Linked DNA regions of Struthio camelus. Each later gene encodes a partner of the first gene's protein in a complex. Links are inferred from orthologs where the notes say so. Each region holds a gene or a part of one and is shown in the gene's direction. Other genes may lie near its edges.

Region 1 (8,006 bases):
TTTATCAAAGAACAAAATTTTACACATAATTCCATTTGGAAGACCAGTATTTAGGATGCCAGTTATGCATTTAGAATAGGTAAATGATAAGCAGAAATTCCTATCACAGAGTATAAATTATTGCTGCAGTAGGATAGTATCATCCAGATCATTAAAAAAATTAAGTGGGAACACATACAAATCCTCTGCAGAATCAGTTAAAAAGCTGAACATTTTTCAATTAACACATCATTTCATTAAAAGCAGAGAGCGTCTGCAGAAGCAGCTCTATTTTGAGAATATAAACTAAGTTAAATGTTTTAGCATTGTGATCTGAAAAATAACGTTACCATTTAGAAATTACGTTCTTAATAACGTGATTTACTTATCAGGGCCCGTTAACAAAACGCACACCTTTTAGATGTCCCAAATGCTCTCCCCAAATAATATTTTCGAAAATTGCACTTTTGTTACAAATTAAAAAGAAATAATAATAATAACAAAAGATATCTTAAAATTTGTACTCTGTAGGAAGCTGTTTTGATCAGAACTAACATTTCACATAATTCATGTAAAATAAGTAAAACAGAGATCATAGATTTAAAGTAATCAATTTTATAAGCAAAGAGACTACTGATCCTGATTCCAGCAAGACGTCACTGCTATAAAAGTTAGACTCCCATACTGCTCAAACAAAACAGCGTTACAGCGAACAAACCTGTTTTGTCAGCTAGCTTTCGTTTCTGAGTTTTGGATAACTGCTCCTTTTTATCTTTCTTCTTACTTGCTGGCACATCAGGAGTTCCAATTGCAATACTATTGCTTGCTGAAGTCTGAGAAGGATAAAAATTGCTATTAATATTTTGCATTCACCTATCATACTTAAGAAGCCAGTATAAATACAGAATGAAGATATCTGAATATGATTACTGAACCAGACCTACTGAAATATCTTGACTGTCATATATATATATATATAAAAATATATATAGAAAAATTATGACCACAGAACATTGTGGCACCATATTCCATGTGCCACTGTTTACTTACTAACATGTTTATATGCAGTATACTGATTAACATGTTAAAGACGGAATGATAAAGTATTTAGAGTTCTAATAACCATTTTTTGCTATTTACATATAAAATATTTGAGAAGTGATTTAAAAGCAATAGATTAGGATCTCAGTTTATCTACTTACCACAGTGTTAACAGGCTGATTTTCCATGAACAATTCTTTATTATCTTTGGCATATTCAAAAAGCGTATACGTCATAGCAGTTCCAAGATTAGCTTCAACTTCTACCATTAATTTATCCAATATGCTTTGTTTAACTGTTGAAGATCTAAAAGAAATCATAAAATTCAGTTACAATCTTGACAGAAGAAGAAAAGTTTGTCAACCAACAAATCTCCCCAATATATAAAAATAGGGAGTGAAGCTGTCCTAAATATTTACATTGTGTTGTTGAAGAAAGCATCCATCGATATGACTGGTGCTGTTTGTGGATATGTTTCTGGCCAAGAAACTTCTATTAGAAAGGCTTTGGGATCTCCATTTTCACCTATCTGGAGGGAGAAGAAAAACCTCATAAATTAACAGTTTTCAGTTGCTCATTAAAGATTACAATGCCAGTATGTGCATCTTTCACTTAAGACTATTGAAATTTCTTCTGAAGATAACAACTATTTTCATGCTATTACCTGTCAGAAAATAAAGCTCTTATCTAGAAAAGAAGTATTACATATGAACATTAACCTCTACTCTGCAGTTTTCATCCTATGAAAATGGAGCAGAAGCATTCTAAGTTATTTTTATGGAGATGTTGCTTGGTTTTAAATGCTTCTTTGTAGTGTCTACAAGGCAAATACTACACAATCATATATGAGAAAAGAAAATATGAAACCTTCTTTTTTCTCCATTATGAAAATAAACCATAACACAGTGGTGAAATACAGAACAAAATAAATTAATGACCTAAGACAGCACAAGTAATAGGTAAAAATTTTAGTATTTTTGTCTTACCCTACAGATATTTTAGCTTACAATAAGAAAGAATGACTCAAAAGAACAGTCAAGAAGCCAGTAGAATGAAACTAGGCGGAAAAGAAAAAAAAAAACATAACGTTATGTTAAAAAAGGCTCACTTTAACCGAAATAACATCTAAGTCAAACACTCTCTCAAACACTTAGCTTTAGTGATTCATTTAAATTGTATTTATGATCCTTACGATTATGTTAACTTCTGTGAAATAAAAACTAAAACAATTTTTTACAGAAAATTAGTATAGGCTAACAAAAATGTACCACAGAAAAAGAAATAAACATTTCATACATGGATTTGTTACACTACTGTAATTAAGTTGGTTTAGTTAGTATTTTAAAACCACAAGAAGAATTTCCTTAATTTTAGAAGCGTCAAAATCTGGCTTCATCGACCTATGCGGAATGAAGTGCAGTCAAAAAAAATTCCTAATCGAGACAAGGCTACTGCACTTTAAAATGGTTCAAAATTCAAATGATCCCATTTCAATATTTTGAAATCAGTGTTTTTCATTTTGTTTACGGTCTCTGTGTCAGCAGAGTAGACTAAGTGATATTCAGTGGCATCTGTTTTAGGGTTAAAGGCATTAAATCAGGACTCTGCTACATTTATCAAGACATCATCCACGGTGAAGCAGTCCACTTCCCAGAGCCACCATGAAGAGAACTGGTGGTATGCTTTACAGAGTTTTCCTCATGTCAGGAAAACACTGCCTGCACATTACAGAGTAAAACCATAGAGAAAGATGCATGGTTACCACTCCTCCTGTCAGTGCAGCCTGCAAATTGGGCAGCCTTACTCTGAATGATGCTGCTACATTTTCCTCAGGATTTGAAAAGTCTTTCTTTAATCTCAATTTTTTTAGCACAGTGATTACAAAATACCTATGTGGTAGGCAAATGAGGTTCAGAAAAAGAGCATATTAATTCTTTCAACTTTATCATGCAGTTAATCGTACTATACTATCTTATAATGCACATTTTCTTTCACAAGAAATATGTGCTATGGTCTCTATCTGACACTAAGTATATAATATTTAAATTGGGTTCTCCTAATTTTTCCATGATTATTCTCTGTCTATGAAAAATTAGCAAGGACAAAAGCTAGCCAAATGTAGAATGCAACATTGTATGTAGGCAGGTAGGCAGGCTACATTTACTCTGCTGAGAACAAAAAATTTGCAAAGAAGCAGTCCTATCAATAAAGGAAGACTGCACTTGCATGGGTGGGATTCAAGTGCTATTTCCTAATCAACCTTTCTCATTACAATTAAAGGTGCTATTCTGAAGTCTTAAGAAATCATCAAAATGTTTTAGACGCCTACACCCCACTTGAGGGACACAGCAAGTTCAGAGTTTTTGTCCCATGTGCACCTAAGTTTTCATCAGTGAAGTTCTCTGACAGTCCAAAGGTTTGCCTCAGCCCACGCCCAGGAGAACTTCCAATTCATCATATTTGAGAAAGACGGCAAGAAATTCATGCCAAAGTGAATTGCAAACCTCAAACTAGAACCTCCTGCACTTTTCCCCAAAGCCAATTACACCAGTATACATACCGAAAGCATTTTGTGCATTTTCCTCCTTAGCAGCTAGAAAAGGCACATAAACTACCCCCAGAGAGAAAATGAGAACCTTGCAACTGAGCAATAAGGAAGGCGCAGACTTTACACATACGCTTTTCTGTAACTGTCATTTCCTACTGGCTATTGCAAGTATTACTCGGCATGCTCTGGCCAGTTTGACAGTTCTGTGCGTTACATACGCTATGCGTTAGACAGATGTGCAAGCAGATTACCTAGTTAAGGGATAATAAACGCACACTGGAGGCAGGTGCCTAAATATTAAGCGGTGTGATATCAAGCATCACCGTACCAAAGATTCTGGAACAGCAGCCGACAGATCTAGCCTTTGGTGCCTTTACAGCCTGTGGAGCACCCCTTTGCGTTACAAAAACTGCGCTGTACCTACAAAACGCACAGAGTAACGTCACGCCGAAGAGGATGTTGCACCGTCCGACAGGAAAACATCTGCGTCGCGCGGGCAGCAACGCCTTGCCCCGACCTACAGAACTTCACGCTGCCTTACCCTGTACTGGAAGGAAACCGGGCTCAGCTCCCTGAAACACGCGTCTCCTTCGTATATAGACCGCAACGCTTCCAGTTCCATCTGGAGGAAACACGAGAGAGCGATTAGCCATTTCAGCCGGGGGGGGGGGGGCGAAGCTCAAGACGCGGCCCCGGGGCAAGGCACGACGCTAGCTCCCCGGCCGAGGCCGGCAGCGCCCGGCACGGCCCGGCGCCAGGGGGCCTACCTTCCTGACGCCTGCCCGCGCCGCCCCTGCCGCGCAGGCCGCTTCCGGCCGCCGCCTGCCCTGGGCGCCCCCTGCCCGCACGCCAGGCCCCTCCCGAGGCGGGAAAGGCCGCCGGCGGACCTCACCTCCTGGTCCTCGTTGGCCGCCATGTCGCGCGCGCGGCGGGGGGAGGCGGCGGCGGCGGCGGCCGGAGGCCGGAGGCAGCGGCGGCCCCCTCCGCCCCCGCCCCCGCGGCCGGTTCGCCCCGGCAGGACCCCGCTGTCGCACAGGCAGCGCGGCGCGCAGGCGCGGAACGGCTGAGCGGCCCCGCCCTCCCCCCCCGCGAGATGGCATCACCTCACCTCATTGGCTCTTTTCTTCTTCCCGGCCTCACCTCCCCCGCCCCTCTCTTCCCGTTGGCTGGCGCCGCCAGCCTCGCCTCGCTTCCTTCTCCCGCTGACTGGCTGCTTCTCCAGTGTCGTCAGCACCCGTGTCCCCTCTGAGTGGCTGGAGGTGGGGGAGCAGGGGCACCTATTGGTTGCTCGTGCTGCCCGTCCGATTCCCGGCACTTGCTTCGGCCCGCCCTCGCCCAGCCGCTCCTAGGCGGCGGCGGTGGCGGTGGCGGTGGCGGTGGCGGGCTGTGTGGGGTTGAGCTCGCCGCGGTGAGCGGGGCCGGGCCGGGAGCGGGGCGCCGAGCCGAGCCGAGCGGCGGCGGCCGCCTGAGGTGCCGGTGCCGCCCTGCCGGCCGCGCGCGCCGAGGCCGAGGATGACGCCGGCGCAGTGGGACTTCCCGGTGGAGCTGTGCTGCCGGCCCATGGCCTTCGTCACCCTCACCGGCCTGGACGTGGTGTACAACGCCGTGCACCGCGCCGTCTGGGACGCCTTCTGCGCCAACCGCCGCGCCGACCGCGTGCCCATCTCCTTCAAGGTGCTGCCCGGCGACCACGAGTACCCCAAGTGCCGCACGAAGGTAGCCGCCGGCCGGCCTCGGGCCCTGTGCGCGGGGGCGGGCGCGCAGGCCGGCGGCGTGGCCCGGGGAGGACACGGGGGGGGGGGGGTCCGCCCCGGTGCGCCGTGTCCACCGCTCGCTGAGCTGCTAACGGCCCGGGTGCCGCTCCCTCAGCTGGTGTGAGGGGAAACGGGGGAGCCTGGGGGCCTGGGAAGGCTGTTGGCGCCTTTCGGCCGCCGTGGGGAGGGGGAGCCGCGGTTGCCGTGGTACGGATGTGTGGGGAACCAGGTGGCCTTACTTCAGGAGCGGCGAGCAGAGCACGTTAACGGGACTTGCCGTAAAAGCGCTTGCCCGTCAGTTGTTCTGTTTTTAAGGTACTTGCAAAGTTTGAGCTGTAATGAAACCTTAAGTTGAACGCTAGAAAACCAAGTATTTGAAATTAGCGTGTCCTGGAAAAAGTGAAGTCTTTACCTGAGTGGGACACAGCAGAAGGAGTTGTTGTGCTCTATTTTCTGCTTTGCAGGGGCAGTTAAGAAGCAATATCGGTGGGTTTGATCCTTGGAAAGCCACGTAATTCAGTGATGCTGGCAAGAAACTAAACCTCAAACCGGTTTCTCTTTTCTTGTTTTGGATCCTTTTGACAGCTTCTTGAGCAAATGGGAAACCCTTTGCAAAATGGGCCTAGTACTTCACAGAAGCGCGTGAAACACTTCTGAACCTAACCCTTTTGTAAAGTCTACCTGGAATCTCTCGTTCTTGGTTACTCGTGTCTCTGCCATCTGGCTCTGATGCCTGGGAGCGAGGTGTATGTCCTGCTTGTTAGGAGACAAAGGCTTGAAGGGAAGAATGTCAAAGGAAAGATGACAAACGTATCCCCAAGTAGCAAGGATGTACAGGCAATACCCCTTCTCCTACTGTACTGAAAGGACCATAAACTGACCTGATGGCTTGCTTTAATGTGTTAAATATTTTCAGAGAACGTCCTATGAGTGGTATATTCCGAAAGGTATCCTGAAGACCGGTTGGATGAACAAACACCTGAATTTGGTTCCAGCACTTGTTGTGGTGTTCTATGAACTAGACTGGGAGGAGCCACAATGGAAAGAAAAACAGTCTGAATGTGCTACTCGAGTTGAAATTGTCAGGTAGAGCTATTTTGTCTAGTTCGTGATGTACTACAAGCTAACGGCGATGTGTAAATTGCAGAATCCTTGTGGCATTATAAAGCATAAATATTTTTTTTCTTAGGCACAAATTCAGGGCAACTCAAACTCCTTAACTATTGTTTTCTAAACTCAGCACAACTGTTCTCTCCCATGTGAGCAAAGAAGAGAGCACTGCATTCTGTGGATGATGCAGTGTATTGTTGCATTCGCTTTTATTTCTCGTATACAGTCTTTTAATGCTTCCATCTAAATTGAAATCTCATTTTCTTCTGATTATTTACAAACATAGGATGAGACCTTGACATTATGTTATGTTATTTTTATTTTAGGCAAAGTTTGCAGGGACGAAATACGAAAGTTGCTGTGGTTTTGATTCAGAAAAAAACACCGTTACCTCCAGGTACTAGAAAGCTAATTAAACTGCTCTGTATACAGTTGTGATGATCTCATTTTTCCAGAAGGCCTGAACTGACCATCGTTTGTCACATTATCTACGGTTCTTAATATATTATCATTTATGTGTGTAAAATGCATTTGTGGCTGCACTGAGCTGTACGAATGGAGTGAACGCTCAAGGCAGCTGACCCTAAAAATCTGATGCTTCTGTTTTTGACTATTTCCTCCGAAGTCCAAGTGAAGCTTTTGATACTGTGTATCAAAAATGATATGTTAGTGTAATATGCATAATGTGTCTCCTTGTAAGTAGTCTGTATTTTAAAGCTTTCTGGAGATAAAGGAAAAAAAACATAAAAGTAATGAGAGCTTAGAGGAAGGGCATCTGGTAACTACGGAACCCTTTAGTTTAAGACTATTCAAACACTGCTAGTGTTTATCAATAAAATTTTGGAGCATAAGGTAGGACTGCTTGTTAAGTTCATTCATGCCTTCTCAGCTAGCTTCTCTCTGGATCAGCCAACTTTTAGGCCATACCTGTTTGATAGACATCTGGCAGGGAAGTCATGGAATTTCTCGGAAGGCTCCTTCTCTGCTCTGGATTTAAAGGAGAGCAAATTCCCCTTAATGGAGGGGCGAAGGAGTCTTTAAAAGACAAGATCCAAAGTAGGGAATGTGGACAAAAAACACATGACTTAAGTGGAATTGTGGAATTTGGTGGGTTTTAATTTTAAATTTCACTCAAGCTGCTACCTCAGCTCTAGCTGCACGCTCTCTAGCGTTTGGTTAAGGTAGGGTGTTTTGGTGAGGGGTGTGTTTATGTGGGTTTTTTTTTTTGTTTGTTTGTTTTCTCTCCATCTGCTTCTGGATGCCATTTTAGTCTTCAAGATACAGGATGTTTATCTGTGTGGGAGATTAAAAATTTAAAGAAATATTTGTGACATGCTTCTACCTTATTACAGAAGCTTTCTGGAGTGGCTTAGCTAGCAATCTCTTCCACTGGATGAAGCATGTAGTGTTCTGAATGAAGTCAAGAAGGAACACGTACTCAATGTTAGGTGTATTAAATTTTCCATACGTTGTATTGGTCAAGCTTTTAGAGCTAGTTTGACCTTGCACTACACAGTGCTTACTTGTGCTTTCCTTGGCTTCACTAGGGGAAGATGTTATTGCGTCGGAGAGGG
Region 2 (7,450 bases), on another chromosome or scaffold:
TAGGCTGCACCACCAGGAATCAAGGTTGGCACTGCAACTGTGCCAAATAGCTAGCTATCAGGGAAAGCATCCTTCCATGCAGTTCATTTCCAAGGGTATAAGCATCATCCAATCGTCCCTAAACTAAAGCTAGTGCAGTATTTTCAGAAATTAAGCCATACTTATACTTATTGAAAGATATCCCTGTTTATGAACTCAAACAATACGATAGGGGAAAAATGATTAACCACTTGAACATATAGCCTGCTAAACAAAGGGTAAACTTACTGTATATTCCAAATTGGTAAATATAGGTCAACTCTGCAAAGAACAAGTAAGAACTGGATAACTTCGCTGGCAAACAATGGCTCTCAACTACACCCCTGAGATCCTGTTTATTACAGGCACATAACTCAGGATACTGATGAAGTCTACTAAGGTTCCTTTCAAAAGCATAACTTTTCTGTACTGAAGTGTTTTGCAGCTATTACTGTTGCCCCTTACTTCTTATCATGATCCATAGTCACATCACCCAGCCCTCATTTCATGAGAGGCAGCATCTCACGCTTTAACTCATTATCCATTACTCTGCAGTTGTCTCATTTTCACTGCAGTTGGAGGACCTGCTCCGGTTGTTGTCAAAGTTTTAAAAAACACCAAAGAATCACACATGCTAGAATTCACACAGATTATGCACGTTTGCACAACATTCATATAGCGTACTTAGACATTGAAGAGGCAGAAAACCACTCATTTTGAGAAACCACACTTTGTGGGTTATAATGGAACTGTGGGAGTGCATGAACCATATAAAAAGAAAAAGCTGCAGTCATCTGATAAAACAAGGGAGGGGAAAAAAGCAGATTAAAAAACCTAACTAATCAGGCAGAAAACTGAATTAATCATCAGTTTTAATCTTGCTTTGCCATTAGATGCTTAGCTTTTTCTCTGAAGAAAAGCTGCTTCTCACCGTTATTTGGTAAAACTTTTTGCCAAGTAATTACATATACCAAATAGTTATACACAATTGCAGGGCTCACGATTTATACCTTTAGTTTCCATTTTCATTCATCAGAACAGTGAATGATGGAGTTCTTCTAAGGAAGACACTCTTATTCTGCTGAGCTTTATTTTGATGAAAACTAGATTCAAATAAAAAAAATAGTAAATGATTTGTCTACTAGTAATCTTAGTTATGTCGATATATAAAAAATACTTGGCACGTAAAACTGATAATAAAATTATTGCAGTTTGATTTCCAGTAACTTAGTGAGTGGAGCACCCCAGAAGCAATATAAGCTTTATGCTGTCAAATTTTAAAGTCTGGGCACACTGGATCATATCAAAAGTATATCAGAGATTGGTACACTGTCTGTGACAGCAGTCAAAAGCAGGTTCTTACCGACTTTTGGAGACAAATGTGGTTTCGTAGTCTGCAATCCCTAGCAGAGCTTGTAGATTTCACAGTTTTACCACATATCGTTTTTATTCAAAGCAAGAAAGCAGAAAACAAGTTCCCCTCCCAACCCTTTTCTTCTTTTAAAAAATGCTCCATCATTTCAAATCTCAACTTTGAATAAACAAAGCCCTAAACTCTTTTTTAGAACTGAAGTAAAGTCTGGAAATAACTGAAAGAGCCAAACACAAGCAACAACAACAAAAATTTTTTTCAATTGCACCAAAAATTTTTTCTGAAGATATGCATCCCTCAGTTAAGCGCTTCTGATGTATGCTGGAGAGAAGTGTAAGCTGTGATGACAGAGCCATTACGAAACCAGGCTTAAAAAGAATAATAATATCTTTTACTAGACCTGGTGACACAAGTTAGAAAAACCATACCCATTTTAGGTTTCAGCCTCTCCATTAGAGACCGTCTCAAAAAGTACTGAGATGTAATTTGCTTTAAGGCCACATTGGCAGTTAATGGAGATCAAAAATAGAGCCTCCATCTCTACGCTGCTTTTCTGCCTTAGTCATAAAACCATCTTTTCTTCTCCTATTTTGTTTCTAAATGCATTAAGTGTAGACTCTTGGATTACAGCTATCCTCTTAGTCCTTTTGCTCCATCCTCCCATCAGATAGTCCTGTTACATACTCTGCAGGAAATCAAATGTCTACAGGAGATGTATTTTTTTTTTTTTTTTGGCAGGACCATGGGGGTCCCAGACAATGGTCTTTCCAAGATTTTGGAAGACTTATTTTACACAACTGAAAAAAGAAACTATGATTTTCATTAAAATACAAGATATAGTCTACTCTGTGATGAAAAAGAAATCTATGCATAAATTTAAGCTTTATATTAATTTTGAAGTAAGAGTTGCAGCCATCTTTAGCCAATCACAAAACGATATCATATTATGAAGACTCTAGCAGATCTAACATATACTACAGATCAATGTTTACACTAACTAGTATAGAAATGGAAAACAAAATAAAACTACAGTTTGCTAAAGAGATTTGTCGATACAGTCCGGATTACTGAGCATATAACTAAATAGGCTGGACATTAAAACAGGACATCAAAACCCAGCCCAGGGAGCCACTGCAGGTTGCCAGAACACGTTCCATGAGCACTTTGGTACAGGCGGCTATAAAATATCTGCATGTGTATACATACAATTACTTAGATAACCCCATCCACTGCAAAATGAAAGTGTTGTTCTGTCAGCTGCAGGAGGAACACAGCACCTCCTGTTGATACTACAACAATGATGGTAACCCAGGCATTGCCAAATGGAACATGTAAGAGCTGAGTAAAAACTTAATTGTGGAAAAGCATTATAAATTAGGAGCTCTCTCATCTATGCAACTGTTTAACCATTTATTCTACTAGAACTCATACAAAGTTGTACGTGACATCTGTGCTCCTCTACAAAGAGGATCAACAAATTCAAAAGTTATTAAGAGTAACACAGGTAGGTAGCAGGATCACAGCATCATCTCCCTGTTGCTAGAATCAGCGATGTGACGGCCAAATTCATGCTGTGGGACAAATCCAACAATGCAGAAGCTACATCCAGAAATATCTACAAACATTAAGTAGTTCAACAGTTGGGTATAACCTAATAAAATCTAAAATTCATTGGAAACAGCTATATTGCCCTCTTCTCACAAGATTTTTTTTTTTTTTTTGCTTAGTCTGCAACTGGAAACCAACCACAGGAACATCCTTGAGATCCCCGGTGTTCCCCAGTCATCCCAGCAGGAGACAAGGCCTTCTCCAGACGGGGACATGCAATTGCTGACAGAGCAGAAGACCAACAGCCGGGCTGAACGCGACCGTTCAGGAAGCCAACCCACAAGCCCTGCTGGCACCGCCCTGACGCATTCACCGTGCAAAGCGCCAAGTTTGGCGGCAGGCACCAACTCCTGCCCCGTGCTCACCCGCTCACGGCCCGGCGCTGCCGCAGGGCCGTGGTAGGGGCGCGGCCGGCGAGGCGCAGCGGCGGGCGGCGCGTCCGGCCTCGCCTCACCCCGCCGCCGCCTCCCGCTGGGCACCGCCAGCGCCGCGCCGCGCCGGCCTCCGGGGCGGCCCCGCGGCTCTACGCGAGGGCCCGGCACCCCCGCACGGCCCGGCACCCCGCCCGGCCCCACAGGCAGCGCGCCTGAGGACCAGGCAGGCCCCGCCGCCACCGCCGGCCCCTCCTCGCCCACCTGGAACTCCAGCCCGTAGATCACCGGCGCGTCGTCCTCCATAGCTGCCCGCCGCCGCCGCCCGCTCGCCTCTCCCCCAGCCTTTCTGACCCTCGGCGCTGCCCGTCGGCCGCCGCTTCCGGGAGGCGCGTTGGCGCAGGCGCCGCCCGCCCGCCCGGCCCGCGGCGCAGGCGCGGTGGGAGCGGCGCTCGGCGCGGCGGCGGTGCTGGCAGTGCGGCGGTCGGCGGGGCGGCGCTGCGCTGCGCTGCGCTGCGCTGCGCTGAGGTGAGGGGCGGGGCAGGCGCGCAGCGCGGCGGTTGCCGTCGCTGCGGCGGCCCCTCGCCGGCCGGGGACCGCCCGGGTGGGCGCTGAGGCGGCCCGGGGGGCGGCGGGCCCGAGGAAGGGCGGCGGCTCCGTCCGCACCGCGCCGCGGGGAGGCGGCGGCGGCGGTGGCGGAGGCCGCTCCCAGCGCGGGCGGCCGCGCTGTGCCCGGCGCAGTGCAGCCGCGAGAGCCGGCTCCGAGCCCGGCAGCGGCCGCCCGGCTGGGCCTGGAGCAGGGCCGGGCCGAGGGCCCGGGCCCGGTCTGCGCGGCGGGCGGGGGAAGCGCCGCTACCTGCAGCCTCGCTGAGGTCCCGGCTGCCGCCAGAGCTTCTGCGGGGCCGCCTGGGCTGGCCCTGGCTTCAGCAGCCCCTGGCGACAGCTGCGGCTCCGCCGGGACTGAACCCGCTCTTCCCTTCTCGCAGACTGGGGCTGAGTTAATCTTTCCAAGTATTTGGCCTTTGCGAGGCCAAATACCTTTTTTTTTTTTTTTTTAAACCTGTGTTTCATCGGAAGCATTTGCTCTTGAATCCTAGTATTTTGGGACTTCAGAACAGTAAAGAATAAAGAGAAGACCTTTTCTTATGATGAATTTATTCTGTGGTAAATGCCGAGAGAAATGTCAAATAGTGAAGTGGTTGTATTTTTAAATCAAGTATTTGTTTAGCTGTTGAGTTTCAGGATAGTGATTTTGACTAGGGCTTCAGTAGCAGAACTAATTCTTCCTTCATTTTTCTTTCTTTAGTTGCAATGGAAAGTAATGGGAGTAATGCTAAGGATGCTAAGAACGCTTCAGATGAAGAGGACAGTGGAGACAGAGTTCAGCAGAAAACTCGGGAAGATATTCTCTTTCATGAGGAAACCATTGATCTTGGCGGAGACGAATTTGAGTCTGAAGGGAATGAAACCGTATCAGAAGACTCTAATAATTTTATAGATAAACTTAATGAACAAATGATGGAGAGTGTCATTATTTCAGATTCTCCAAACAACAGTGAAGATGACACTGGTGACCTTGGTTGTCTGCAGGAGATTGTAGAACAAATGGAAGCCAAAGACAACCAAAAAACACAAGCAGAAGTGGGTAAGGAAGAGTTTTTAAGTAATGAGAGTGAAACTGAACATGAAGAAACACCCAAAGACATTTCTGAGATTGGAACAGATGATCAGACATCTTTAAAGGAAGAATCAATTCAGGAAGCAGTGAAAGAGGAACTGAAATTGGTAAATAACATTCCTGTTGGAACAAGACCAAGTGATACTGATGAAAGCAAACCTAAGGACCAGCTATCATCACCCAGTACTGGCAAACCGACTCCTGAAGCTGAGCCTATCCCTGTGTGTACCATTTTCAGCCAAGCAAACAATGTTAATACTCAGCCACAGTTGTTCCTGCATGATGGTTTTGAGCCTCAGATGGTAAAATCTCCCAGTTTTAGTAGTATAACTGAGACTCCAGTGAAGTCTAATCCACAGGTAGTTCAACCAAGTCCTAGTCTAAGCAAGTTTTTTGGTGATACTGTTAACACTAATACTTTAGGTTCTGATTTTTTTGATTCATTTACCACATCCAGTTTTATTTCTGTCAGTAATCCCAATGCAAGCTCTTCAGTCCCAGAACAAATGTCCTCTATTTCTTCCACTGGAGACAGTTCTCATGCTTCGCCTGACCCTACTTTTTCTCTGGGAAATGGGAGAACTGAAGCAGGTGGTCCTCCAGAAATATCTCAATCCCCCAAGCCCTTCTCACAAATCCAGGCTGTTTTTGCTGGGAGTGACGACCCTTTTGCCACAGCCTTGAATATGAGTGAACTAGACAGAAGAAATGATGCTTGGCTCCCTAGTGAGGAAACTAGAAACGTTCTAATTTCAGTTGCCACACAACAATACAGCACTGTGTTCATAGACAAAGAGAATCTCACCATGCCCGGATTAAAATTTGATAATATCCAGGTAAGAGTCTGTGATTATATGTTAGTCTCTGAATATATTTTAGAAATATTGAATAAGAGCTTTCCAATAGTTGTTACATCATCTTAGTGCTTCATATTGTTGCCTAGGGGCACCTTGTTTGTATTACTCCAATCCTTATCAGAAAATTTAGTGTGACTGCCTACTCATACGTGAAAGGACTAAAATAAGATCTGATGTATTCGTAGTGAAATTCTTTGGGTACATTGAAGACCAGTGTTGACAGCTTACGTAGAATCCGAAGCTGGTTGCTATTTTTAAGTCTTTTCAGTTAGTTTCGGCCCGTTCTAGTTGGAAAGATTATGCTCAGATTTGGAATATAAACTAAATCAGAATGCTGTCCTGTGAAGTCTGAAGGCAGACAGCTTTGTTTGCTTGTGGAATTCACTGTTGCAACCAAGCTGGAAAGAACGTTTTTTACAGTGATGTTCACAGTGCTGTGGATAATGTTGACACTGACTGGAATTGCATCATTTATATCTTTCCTAAGCAGTGGAAAGGCGTAAGCTATAGGAAAGATGAGTGCTAGAGCCAGCTGCTGGGAAGGAGCGGCATTCCAATTAGATCTTGAAGGGAAGAGCATAGTAGTGGAAACCCATTTCCTTCTCTTGTACCAGAGTTCACAACTGATGAGAAAGCATAAGGCTTTTCTTCAGAGTTCGGAGAAGTTTTACTTAGATCTGTTAAACGCTTCTAGTGAAGGAATTATATATCCTGGCAGCTCAGCAAAGCCAAATGGAGTTTTTTCTTGAAATAGGCAAATCCTACTTTTCCATATCTACGTCTGAATAGTAGAGTTGTCATCTAGAGAGGTAGTGTTGAGGGTTCAGATATTTAAGCCTTAATAATAGCATAACAAAGATTATCAGTTGGTAGCAGAATAAGGGTTCTTGCAGAACGGTCTGCAAGAACTTCTCAATTTGCAGTAACTATCGGAAAAGTTCCTGGAGTGAAAGTAGTTCGGACTTGTACCTGAATTATTTAAAAAATCTTAAGTTTCCTTTTTTGTGTCTGTCACTGAAGCAACAAATGAAAGATTTAGACATACACCATGCTGCTGCTGCTGCTGCTTCTTGGGTTAGCTTTATTTTAAAACGTTTGATTGTCATTGTAGAACCCAATCATTAGTGTGAAAGAAAATACTGTGGTAATATGCACCTCCTCCTCTACTTCATTCTACCTTCCCAAAAAATCACTTAGAGCTTGATGAGTAATTCAAGATTGTAATATTTCTCTCCTAACAGCTAATGAATGAAAAGAAAGAATATTTTCTTCCATGAGCCCAAAGGACAAGGTCCCTCTTATTGTGGCCCTCCATTTTTGCAATAGTTCTTTCTCGCTTTCTTCAGTTGAGTCAAGGCTTAAAAGGTTACTTGCACTGATCATCCCCTGAATCTAGGTCATATGCATATATGCAGATGTACCATTCAGTACATCATTGAAAAGAAGACATTTCAGCTGACCCGCTGTAAAATCAAGGAAGGACTCAAAGGGGATTCCTGCTACTTTCTTCATGGATTACTGTTTATAAACAGCTACATAGACATGT

What was found. The genes of interacting proteins can lie anywhere in the genome.
Region 2: TRAPPC11 (region 1) and TRAPPC12 share a complex: the UniProt entries of both Homo sapiens proteins name them as parts of the multisubunit TRAPP (transport protein particle) complex. The link is inferred for Struthio camelus from reciprocal best matches to the Homo sapiens genes TRAPPC11 and TRAPPC12.

The regions. Positions count from the first base shown.
Region 1 is NC_090945.1:50,752,758-50,760,763, forward strand, and holds the start of TRAPPC11 (trafficking protein particle complex subunit 11), read left to right. Parts: upstream 1-4,949; 5' UTR 4,950-5,080; coding exon 5,081-5,284; intron 5,285-6,238; coding exon 6,239-6,408; intron 6,409-6,758; coding exon 6,759-6,829; intron 6,830-7,979; coding exon 7,980-8,006. Other genes in the region: RWDD4 (RWD domain-containing protein 4), read right to left, coding at 698-812, 1,182-1,326, 1,440-1,549, 4,110-4,190, 4,461-4,484. UniProt on the Homo sapiens protein: Involved in endoplasmic reticulum to Golgi apparatus trafficking at a very early stage.
Region 2 is NC_090944.1:27,993,302-28,000,751, reverse strand, and holds the start of TRAPPC12 (trafficking protein particle complex subunit 12), read left to right. Parts: upstream 1-4,423; 5' UTR 4,424-4,514; coding exon 4,515-4,533; intron 4,534-4,675; coding exon 4,676-5,883; intron 5,884-7,450. Other genes in the region: EIPR1 (EARP and GARP complex-interacting protein 1), read right to left, coding at 3,634-3,675. UniProt on the Homo sapiens protein: Component of the TRAPP complex, which is involved in endoplasmic reticulum to Golgi apparatus trafficking at a very early stage.